Saccharomyces cerevisiae S288C: one gene and its partners. The gene in region 1 interacts genetically with each later gene. Each region holds a gene or a part of one and is shown on either strand. Other genes may lie near its edges.

The links.
Region 2: mutations in EMI2 (region 1) and GAT2 together harm fitness more than expected from each alone (negative genetic interaction), as found in Saccharomyces cerevisiae (one large-scale study listed by BioGRID).
Region 3: mutations in EMI2 (region 1) and CPS1 together harm fitness more than expected from each alone (negative genetic interaction), as found in Saccharomyces cerevisiae (one large-scale study listed by BioGRID).

The regions. Positions count from the first base shown.
Region 1 is NC_001136.10:1,474,536-1,478,292, reverse strand, and holds EMI2 (putative glucokinase), read left to right. Parts: upstream 1-1,816; coding exon 1,817-3,319; downstream 3,320-3,757. Other genes in the region: GRH1 (Grh1p), read right to left, coding at 1-1,054; SLF1 (Slf1p), read right to left, coding at 3,521-3,757. UniProt on the Saccharomyces cerevisiae protein: Putative glucokinase involved in phosphorylation of aldohexoses and glucose uptake. Involved in sporulation. Required for the full activation of the early meiotic inducer IME1.
Region 2 is NC_001145.3:539,049-542,805, forward strand, and holds the start of GAT2 (Gat2p), read left to right. Parts: upstream 1-2,150; coding exon 2,151-3,757. Other genes in the region: glucose-induced degradation complex subunit GID8, read right to left, coding at 1-1,008.
Region 3 is NC_001142.9:95,857-99,613, reverse strand, and holds CPS1 (Gly-Xaa carboxypeptidase), read right to left. Parts: upstream 1,878-3,757; coding exon 147-1,877; downstream 1-146. Other genes in the region: RFA3 (Rfa3p), read left to right, coding at 3,085-3,453; KRE9 (Kre9p), read right to left, coding at 3,692-3,757. UniProt on the Saccharomyces cerevisiae protein: Necessary for use of certain peptides as sole nitrogen source. May also cleave intracellularly generated peptides to recycle amino acids for protein synthesis.

The DNA of each region.
Region 1 (3,757 bases):
CGGTAGATGACTTATCTCTGCCTTCATTAAAATAGTCATCCATTGCCAATGGCTGGGTACCCTTTTTATTTTTTGATTTCTTCTTTGTTGGCACCGGTGGTGCTGTGAATGCTGATGGCACAAAAGCCGTCTCAGATTCTACTGGAACAGGAACAGGAACAGGGTTGTCATCTTGCCCCTGCTGCTGTGCTTGTTGTGGACAGTGCTTTACTGTTGGAATCCTGTGAAGAAACCCGTATCCAACGTTGCAACCCAACCTGCCGTCGGGACCTATATGAACTGTGATTGGTCTCACACAGTCAGAAACTTTGTTGTAGACATAAAGGACCAGATCGTAGTTTGCTCTTGATCTAACAATATCTTGTAAAAGCGTCTCCCCTCCCGTGGCCAACAGGCCATCTTGGCAGCCGATAATGTAGTCTTCATCTGGGATGAGCCCTGCCGATTGGGCGGGTCCATCTGGGATGTTCACGTTCAGGATATGGTATGTGAAAGTGGAAGCTATCAAAGGCGTCCATTGGACTTTGAACCCGAGTGCTTGGAACTGGTGCGCTTCCCCACTAGATGGCCTCCTCTCGTCATGGTTTAGAGAAACATCGTCCAAATCGTCGCTCTCCTTCGATATAATGCTGATATACTCGTCTCTGAACGTGCCTCCTTTAGCTGACCATATGTTGACCTTCAAAGTTCGGCCACAGTGTTCATTGAAGATGGATGTGATACGACGGTAATCTGGGTACGAAAATCCGTGTTGATTACTGACCACCGGCACCGGATCATCATTGAAACCTACTATATAGTCGAAAAAGGACTGCAGTTGGAACTGCATCTCGTCCACCCAAACAATGCGGAGACCGGAAAGCGTTTCATTGACGTTGGTGTGCTTAACACCTTCAGAAACCGCATCTACGGGTGATTCCAACTGAGCAGACAACAAATTTGGTGGTATAGACTGAAAGAAAGCGTCCAGATTGCTCGAGTCCTGCGAGAGTGCCAGGGTATCTTGCACGCTCTGCTCAAAAGTCCGTACGAGGTTTTTAGCTATTCTAAACATAGTTCTTCTTCCTATACCTTTTTACTTCCCTAGTTTCGCACGCTGTGTCGGTCGCAGTTACAGTAGTAGTCTCAGCACCCCTGTTCTTGGTCCTGATCCCGTTGCGACAAGCCCATTTCTTTTATGATAGCCAAAATGCAACTAAACCTCGTCGTCGTCGGCTTGCGTGTCCGCCGCGAAGACAGAAAAATAACGAAACGAACTTAATAGAAACGACCTAGATTTTATTTGGAAGCCAGCCCGATGCTATCTTCAAAATGGCTGTCACTGGGTGCAAAGGCGGTGGGAGAGCCCATTAAGTAATTTAATCGGGTTGTCTCACCAATGTTAGCCACAACGCAACGCTACGTCGCCACTCTGGCAGCCACCGCAACGAGCAGTAGCAACTACTTTCGGGTGGGCCCTTCAGGGGTAGTTGCCTGCGTCTTTGTTCGAAGAATCAAGTGACAAAAAACGCGGGGCATCCAGAAAGTCTTTTTGTGTGTGTCGTCGAAAGGGAAAGTGAGAGAGTGAGAGTGAATTAGTGTTTGTGTGTGTGGAAGACAGAGGAAGAAGATCGGGTCGTCGAATTCTATTATGCTTGCGATGCAGGGGGGGGAAACATGTATTCGGGATTATATAAAGTCGATTCTGTGTAAGTGTAAAATCTCATCTTGTCTCGTGTTCTTTTGTACGTCTCATACTTATAGGAAGTTTAAATAGAAACAGATATCAGTGTATCAAGGAAGAATTGTACAAGAATCGAATCATAGATACACAGTAATGTCATTTGAAAATTTACATAAAGTCAATGCTGAGGCATTGGAAGATGCAGTGGTTGAGATCTGCTCCTCATTGCAGGTTGATGCAGCAAAGTTGGACGAACTAACAGCGTACTTCATTGAATGTATGGAAAAGGGGTTGAATAACACCTCTGTAGGCGAAGAAAAGACGGTGGACAAGGGTCTACCCATGATCCCTACATATGTAACCAGTTTGCCCAATGGGACGGAACGTGGTGTTTTGCTGGCTGCAGATTTAGGTGGGACTCACTTCAGAGTGTGTTCTGTGACTTTGAATGGTGACGGAACCTTTGATATGCAGCAATTGAAGTCTAAGATTCCGGAAGAATATCTAAATGACAAGGATGTCACCAGCGAGGAGCTGTTTAGCTACCTGGGTCGCCGTACAAGGGCCTTCGTTAGGAAGCATCATCCTGAGTTGTTGAAGTCCACGGGGGAGAACATAAAACCTTTGAAAATGGGATTTACCTTCTCATATCCCGTTGACCAAACCTCTTTGAGTTCCGGTACTTTAATCAGATGGACCAAAAGCTTCAAGATTGAAGACACGGTCGGCAAGGATGTCGTGAGGTTATACCAGGAGCAATTAGACATTCAGGGGCTCTCTATGATTAATGTGGTAGCTTTGACCAACGACACGGTTGGCACTTTCCTATCCCACTGCTACACTTCAGGCTCTCGTCCATCGAGTGCTGGTGAGATTAGCGAGCCTGTCATTGGTTGTATCTTTGGTACTGGTACTAACGGTTGCTATATGGAGGATATTGAAAACATCAAGAAGCTACCAGATGAGCTCAGAACAAGACTGCTGCATGAAGGAAAAACCCAAATGTGCATCAACATCGAATGGGGTTCTTTCGACAATGAATTGAAACATTTGTCTGCTACAAAGTATGACATCGATATTGACCAAAAATTTTCTCCAAATCCAGGTTACCATCTATTTGAAAAAAGAATTTCCGGCATGTACTTGGGTGAGCTGTTAAGGAACATCCTGGTGGACTTGCATGCAAGGGGCTTAATCTTGGGACAGTATCGTAATTACGATCAATTACCTCACCGTTTAAAGACTCCTTTCCAATTGTGCAGTGAAGTTCTTTCCAGGATTGAAATCGATGATTCGACAAACTTGCGTGAAACTGAATTGTCGTTTTTGCAGAGTTTGAGGCTACCGACCACTTTTGAAGAACGTAAAGCAATTCAAAATCTGGTCCGTTCCATTACGAGAAGGTCTGCATATCTAGCAGCCGTTCCGATTGCCGCCATCCTAATCAAGACAAACGCTTTGAACAAAAGATATCACGGTGAGGTAGAAATTGGTTTTGACGGTTATGTCATCGAATACTATCCTGGATTCAGATCCATGCTGAGACATGCTTTGGCATTAAGTCCAATTGGCACTGAGGGTGAACGTAAGATACATTTGCGTCTAGCCAAAGATGGGTCCGGTGTTGGCGCAGCTTTGTGTGCTCTGGTGGCATAAAACATATCTGTTCTTAACAGCTTATTTTTAGTTTGTTTTCGTTTTCCTCTATATAAATATCTTATGTATCTGTTATATAAAAAATTATTTAGTACGAATTGAAATGAAATGTTATGTTATATTTTTAGAGAGAATCTGCTATTACTTTATACATGTTAACTATATACATAATAAAAAAAAAAAAAAAAATATTGTCTAAAATTAATCATTTATTTGTAAGTTTTGTTCAAACTGCCTGCTAATTTCACCTTGGTCATAGCTCTGACTCTTTTTCCCATTTTCATTACTGGGAAAGAAGTTTGGATAGCCCATATAAGAATAATTGTCTAAATCGTTCGGTCCCAATAGTTTCTCAATGTTGTATTTTTCAGTTTCGTCATCATTTTCATCAAAATTACTTTCCATAGCGTATTCAGCCCAATTTTCGCGCCTAATAAA
Region 2 (3,757 bases), on another chromosome or scaffold:
GACGAGATTGTTGTTATACACCGTGAAGTTCTGCGTAATTATTTTCTTGTCGGAATTTAACAAATCTGGAAATTTGGAATTATTATTGCTGATCTCAAATTGAATCCTTGGATGAATAAACTTCAGCAGCTTCTCATTAACCAGATCTGCTATCTTAGATCTTAGAGATATCGAGTACAGATTTTGTAACGATTTGGGCAGCTTAATGCTGCCGCTGTCCGCCGAATCTGACAAGGGGAAAAGCAGCAGAGTCATTGCTAATTCTAACTCTTGCATCTTTTTGACACTTGACGAAGCCTTTATTGCAAGTTTATTTTGAGAATACTGAATTAGATTGAGTATAAAGTCGTTGGAATCCTTGGTGATGTTCTCCTGTTGATGGTGACTTCTTATCATCTCGATCAAATTCAGTAACAGCAGTTTGAAGTGTAAATCTCCATCTATGTCAAACTGCTGCTGCTGCTGCTGCTGCTGCCTGTCAGTTCTACCCGTATAACTTCCCGTAGCATTGAAAGTCTCTTCCAGCACCTCCAGCCCGAAGATAGAGTTTATCTCCTCCATCGCCTCATTGATACGCCCCAGCTTAATAAGATGTTTGATATGGAAACGCTCCTTGATCTTGTACAAATCATTGAAAACCGCAATGTCTTTGTTGTTCCGTATAAATCCCAGCTCCTTGGCCATCCTAATGCTCGAGTCTTCATATGCCATAGAAACAAAGTAGTTCAACAGAAGCCGTGGCAGTGTGGGCTCTATGGGTGTGGTCTGTATGGTAGCAAATCCCTCGTCCTGCGAGCCGCCACTGCTGTTGGGCTGAATTTTCAGCGGATAATGTATTGTCTTATTTGCATATAGCTCGCCCATGGCAGAATACTTGGCCACCTGCTCCTTCCATTCTTCCTTCGTGAAGCACTTCTTTCCATACGTAAAGTCTTTCCCACCATTCTTGCCTTGGCCGCTGCAAGATCCGCTCTTCGTGGTCTCGTTACTAAGAGTAGATATAGTCATTTCTATTTGTTACCACACACAAATATATCTTCATCCGGCTGATATTTGTCTCTACTGCCCCTTTGCTTGCAATTTAATGACCAAATTACACATGTTAGCTTCAAGAAAAATGATGTACCATCAAAATGTCTCCTGCAACGAACCGGGGCACCGCGCCGGCAGAGTCAGGAAAGCGAGATCGACACTGATAGTGATAAACAGCAACACAATGGAGCGATTACCATTCACTCGGAACGGATCCGGACAACAGTCAAATAAACTCCGGGATCCCAAAAAGGGCCGTACACACAAACCCAAGCCGAGCGAAAAACACAAAAAAAATAAAACAGGGAAAAAAGGAGCGCAAGAGAAAACGCACAGGAGTAGGAGCAGCAGAAAGGGGAACTAATATGGTTTTTCCGTTTGCTTATTTTTATTTTTTTGTTGAGTCATGGGCACGTCACCGCACAACAGCCGCCGCAGGCCTGTACCGCTACGCGTCTATCACTGCGAAACATCGCTACTTCTGTCGCCGCGTCGACGCTGGTCCAGACCACAAAAGGATGCACGATCAGAAGCACTGTACCCTGCAGAGTTGGAGATAGTGTAACCGTGACTTCATTTTTCAAGCGTGGTTTCACATTCTTTTTGCACCGCCCTTATCTCAGATATAGTTTCGTTCGGTTGCTTTGCTTTCCCCAACTGAAGGTGCTGGATGGCGGTTTTTCCGGCTGCTGCGATTTTCCCTGCGCGGGGCCCGGCGCGGAATTGTGCAAAAGCTAAAACTCAACGGTTATTTTGAAATATAAGGTTATAAGCAAATTTCCTAAATTTGCTTAATTGTTAATGCAGTTGTTATTGCATTAAGACATTCGGCTATCGTTTCCTTTCTTCGTGTCGGCAATCTTGTATAAAAGTTATTTTTTGAGTTTCAGTTTCTTGTATATCTTGGTATATATTGAAGGAGGATTTTTTCTTTCCTGGTCCTTTTACTTCCTTGCGTCCCCTCATATTTCTTCTATTTCCGTTCACGGCGTTTTTTTATTTTCTCCATCTACTTTTAGTGATTTCCTTTGCTCTAATATTGTTTTCGTTCATAGTGAATTGTTTGTTTTCACTTTAATAAAGGGCTTTTACGACTTGTCTCAAAAAATTTCATCGAGATGCAAGCCCCCAATATCTACCCCTTCTCTCAAACACAGCCACAAGCACTGCCCGGGTTCACATACGGTCCTCCACAACTTGTTTTTGACCATTCTGCTCCGAGAGTAGATCCTTTGCATTCTACTGTAACTATAAATTCTCCATTACCCTTGCAGCATTATAATGGACCGAATGCCCATATAAACAGCGCAAACAACAACTACGCATACTACTATCATCATCCCAACAATAATGATAACAACAACCATAGTAACAACACTATAAAAAATAACAACATTAATTCTGTTCTTCCCGCCGTTAATATTCAAATATCCAACAACTCACATTATAGAAATACACACCAAATTCCTTCTGCTCCTCAGCGGCTGGTCAGCATCATACCGGATCCCCACATGCCGCCCAATATTTCTCACTTTCAGCTAAATAATATTCACCCTCAAATGCATGCTCCTGTTGCTACTGATATTCATTTCCAACAAGTACCAGTTTACAATAAAACCAATAATGGCATTGGTACTGATAACATTAATAACGATAAACCCGTAAACTCGAATCAGAATGAAGTGCTGGACAATATTGATGAACGTTCCTGTCATGAAATTAACAGGGTAGTTTCATTTTCTAAACATTTTGAAAACAACGAACTTACCACTACAGCAAATGATCTAAACATTCAATCTACTATGGATGAATTAGCTAAACTGAAATCTTTATCAAATTCTACCCATTTCAGGCAGAGTATTGCTACTCAGAATTTCCATTCTTTACAAAATCATATCACAACCATCGAAAACCGTCTGGCTTCTTTACTTACTGACAGACAACAAGAGCAGCAACAGTTGAAGCAGCAAGAGTCTGAAAAGGAGAGCTCTTCACCGTTTTCCAATAAGATAAAGTTACCTTCCTTACAGGAATTAACTGACTCCATCTCCACCCAACATCTTCCAACATTCTATGACAATAAAAGGCATGCTTCGGATACCGATTTAAAGAGTAGCACCTTACATGGTCCATTATATCACCGTCACGCTTTTCTTTCAACCTCTTCTTCCTCACCCTCCCCCACGGCCGGTTCCGCGCCTCTTCAAAAGTTACAGGTTCCAAGACAAGACGATCCAAACGATAAGAAAATGAATATTTCATCATCTCCCTTCAATTCAATAACCTACATTCCAAACACTACGTTATCTCCAATGGTGCAAACGCAGTTAAAGAACTTAACCACTTCTAACCTCAACACGAAAAAGAAGAATAACAGAGGCAGACCAAGAGCTATTCAGAGACAACCCACGCTGACCACTTCCAGCCATTTCATCAATAATTCCAATCCTGGTGCTGCTGCAGTTTCAACGACAACTCCCGCCGCTAATAGCGATGAAAAGAATCCTAATGCAAAAAAAATCATCGAGTTTTGTTTCCATTGCGGGGAGACCGAGACTCCAGAATGGAGAAAGGGACCATATGGCACAAGAACTTTGTGTAATGCCTGTGGGTTATTTTATAGGAAAGTCACCAAGAAATTTGGCTCAAAAAGCAGTAATTTGTTGTTAAGATATAGAAGATCTATTGATTTAGCCAACGATCGTAGAATTCCTGATTTTATCAC
Region 3 (3,757 bases), on another chromosome or scaffold:
TGTTTAACTGACGGTGTTTTTTTTTTTACGTTATACTGATACATATATAGACGTGATTTATTTAAATAAAAAGTTCTATGAAAAAAAAAAAAAATTAAAAAAAAAAAATTAAAAAAAAAAAATCTTTGACTATTCAATCATTGCGCTTAAGCGTATTCGTTAACATTAACGATATACTCGTAAACAAAGGCAATGGCAGATAAATGACCTGGGACATCCACGTGTTCATTAACCGAATGCAATGTCTTCAGTAAATCAATATCAATGATAGAGCCAACAAACCTATAAATGTTCTTGGACAAATTCCAGTAGTATTTAGTATCGGTGTTACCAGAGAATAAACCAGTAGTCACATAGAACTCTTCGTTGTTTTGTAGAACACCGTTTTCAAAAACATCTTGAATAGTACCTGCCAAAATGTCCCAAACAGGGCCTGAACTTGGCGAAAGTGGTGCTGGTTCCAATTCTCTCAAGAGAGTAATGTCAATGTGACCTAACTCGGTTTCAGGGATAATGTAATCGTCACCGTTCTTAGATAAACCATAGCCATACTTCTCAGCAATCTTTTTCGCATATTCTATGTTTCTTTCAAAGACTTCAGCCACAGAAGAATGTAAATTAATTCTGTGATTGATCAAGAATCTGGTAGTTTCGGGCAGAGCATTAGCTTTAACACCACCATTGATGATATCAACAGCTTGTGTTGTTCTTATTAAGCTGCGCAAATGTGATTGGTTGGAAATGTACTCAACAAGCTTGTCCTTCCTTCTAGGACAGAATGGTGCGCCCAAAATTGTCTTCTTCACATCCTTACTTAAAGATTTAGAATGTTCAGCAGCACATGTCAACAATCCATAGATTGGATTGTCAAACTCAAATTCGTAGTCAAATGGGTTGGCTTCAAATTCAGTAATCAGTTCTGAAGCGATACCGATTGTGGTATGATCAGGTGGGACAGAGGAATGACCACCATGGCCTAGAATACTGACTTCGAAGTCGACATAGCCTTTTTCAGCGTTGATTGGAGTGGCAACAAAGACATCCTTGTCGACTTCCATGATACCTTCACCCTCGTCAATGATACTGTAAATACCATCATCACCATATCTTTCGTGAAGAAATGAGGCTAAGCTGGCAGCACCGAGGGTGCCGCTTGCTTCTTCATCAAAACCAAGCGACATAACAATAGTTCTGTTGGGCTTGAATCCATCTATCAACAGTTGTTCGATAGCTTCAAACTCGGCAATTAACAAGTTCTTACAATCGTTAGAACCACGCCCCCAAACAAAATCTGTTTCTGGATCATAGTGACCAGAAAATGGAGGGAACTTCCAGGATGATAAAGTTTCGTTGTTTACAGGTACAACATCTTGATGGGCCATTAACAATAATGGTTTTAGATCAGGATCAGAACCTTCCCATGTGTATAGAAGACCCAGCTCATTGACTTTCTCCAATTTCAAATGCTTGTGAATATTAGGGAAAGTCTTCTCAAAATAGTCGTGTAGTTCATAAAAATGCTTATAGAAATCCGGATCATCTGCGGGGTTGGGGTTTTTGTCTTGGACTACAGTGGGGATTCTAACAGCATTGGACAGTTTCTCAATGGAGCTGTTTCTAAAGGCAGGGTCATGAAGAATTGTGTCGACGGAATGTTTGAATGATGGACTTAATGGTTCAATCTTCTCACATTTGGGTGAGTGCATGGGACCTTTTCCATGGTGTGGACGCTTTGCCTCATGAGGTGGTGCTGGGTGGAGACCCGAAGTGAGGAAGAAGGTGCCGATGATAATAAGGGCAACTATTCCACTAATAAAGGCTCTGTGCCTTTGCCATAGGGACTTTCTAGGGGCCTTCTCTACTGGTAAGGCGATCATAATGTAATTGTTAGATGAATGATTCCTTAATGTGATGATGCAGGATTAGTTTTACAATGGGAAGAGACGTATTTGGGGTACCCGTTTCTTTTATATGTCATAAACTTTCTTGCCCGACCTTGGAAGGCTGTATCGTATTTTGCCCAAAGGGGAAAATAAAAGGCCGCTATGATAAGATAAGGGTGGCGAGGCTGAGATAACAAGAAGATGTTCTGAGCATTGAGCATTTAGGATAACAGTGCACAAGATCACGCGGTTCAATTCGTCACGTAAAGCTACTAGAAGTGGGTGTTTCTAGTAGCCTGCAAAAAGCGTCGTTCTAAAGAAACTTTTTTCAATGACACATTTACTGAAAATAGAAAAAGACTATCTATTCGTAGCTGATTTTCAAAATCCGTATGGGAAATCAGAGGTTATGGAACTGACAACGTCGTAGGAACAAGCGATATGCAAATCCCGGTGTCGCTTTGTTTGTGTATCGCTAAAAGCTTATATGCAATACTCGCGAAGGTACTATAATCCCTTGGACTAGGTCATCCCAATTCTTTGTCTTTATCAGTAAACTCTTATCTTACCTTTGGTCTCAAACTGGTATTTTATTTGCTGAATATTAACTACCACTAGGGATTACTCGTAAAATTATGAAAAAAGTACCATATGAACTCCAATAACGGTAAGTGATCAATAGGGAACAGCAAGTCTCTTCTTCTTTGCAACGTCAAGATTGATCCTATGCTTTCATAATTTCCCTACATGATGGCAGTCATACTCCAATTAAGTGCTACAAGAAAGAGGCCTTCGCAACAACTGTGTCAACGCTTGCAAGTGCTAAATTGTACTACAGCACCAGTGGTATCTCCTATAGTCAGTTACATAGTAAAATATTCAGAGGTCCATTACATAAATATATATATATATGTAGAGGCATCCATCCATGTTTGTCGATGCAGCTGCAAGCACCCAACAAGAACAGATGACAGCCAACAGTCGTTGACTAACGTAATGGGCCACTGCTGAGAAGCATCCACCGCCCATGCCATGGTTGGAATCATGACAAGTCGCCCTATATAATGCCTTCGTTCTTTAATATTGACGCGCCAAATGTGGCAATACGCGATATTTTTTTCGTTCGTGTTTAAATAAAGAGCAATATAACACACCCTTCACCATTCTTGTAGAACATCGTCTACCAGTAACACAAGTAAAAATGGCCAGCGAAACACCAAGAGTTGACCCCACAGAAATCTCCAACGTCAATGCTCCTGTGTTTAGGATAATAGCGCAAATCAAATCACAACCCACTGAATCTCAGTTGATTTTACAATCGCCAACCATATCATCGAAAAACGGCAGCGAGGTTGAAATGATTACGTTGAACAATATTCGTGTATCTATGAATAAAACATTTGAGATCGACTCGTGGTATGAGTTTGTTTGCAGGAACAATGATGACGGCGAGCTAGGATTTTTGATTCTAGACGCTGTACTATGCAAATTCAAGGAGAACGAAGATTTAAGCTTAAACGGTGTGGTTGCTTTACAGAGACTATGTAAGAAATACCCAGAAATATACTAGCTAAAATCGCTTTTATTCTTACCTTTATGTACTGTTGCCTCTATATGTCTTCCCTTCATATAATAAATTCCATTTCTAAAAAAATTGTAGTTGTGTTTATAGATGTATAGATAGATAAATGAATGTGTACTTGCTGCCTTAACGCCTTCCGCTAAAAACTTTTTGATATTTATTTTATTTTTAACCTTTCCTGACTTCAACCCTTACTGTAATGATGATAGTAGAAGCCGTCTATTTTTCATACTTTTCTCATGTTGATTTTCCTTGCAGACAAAGACAATCTCTTGGATGGTTTGTACCAACC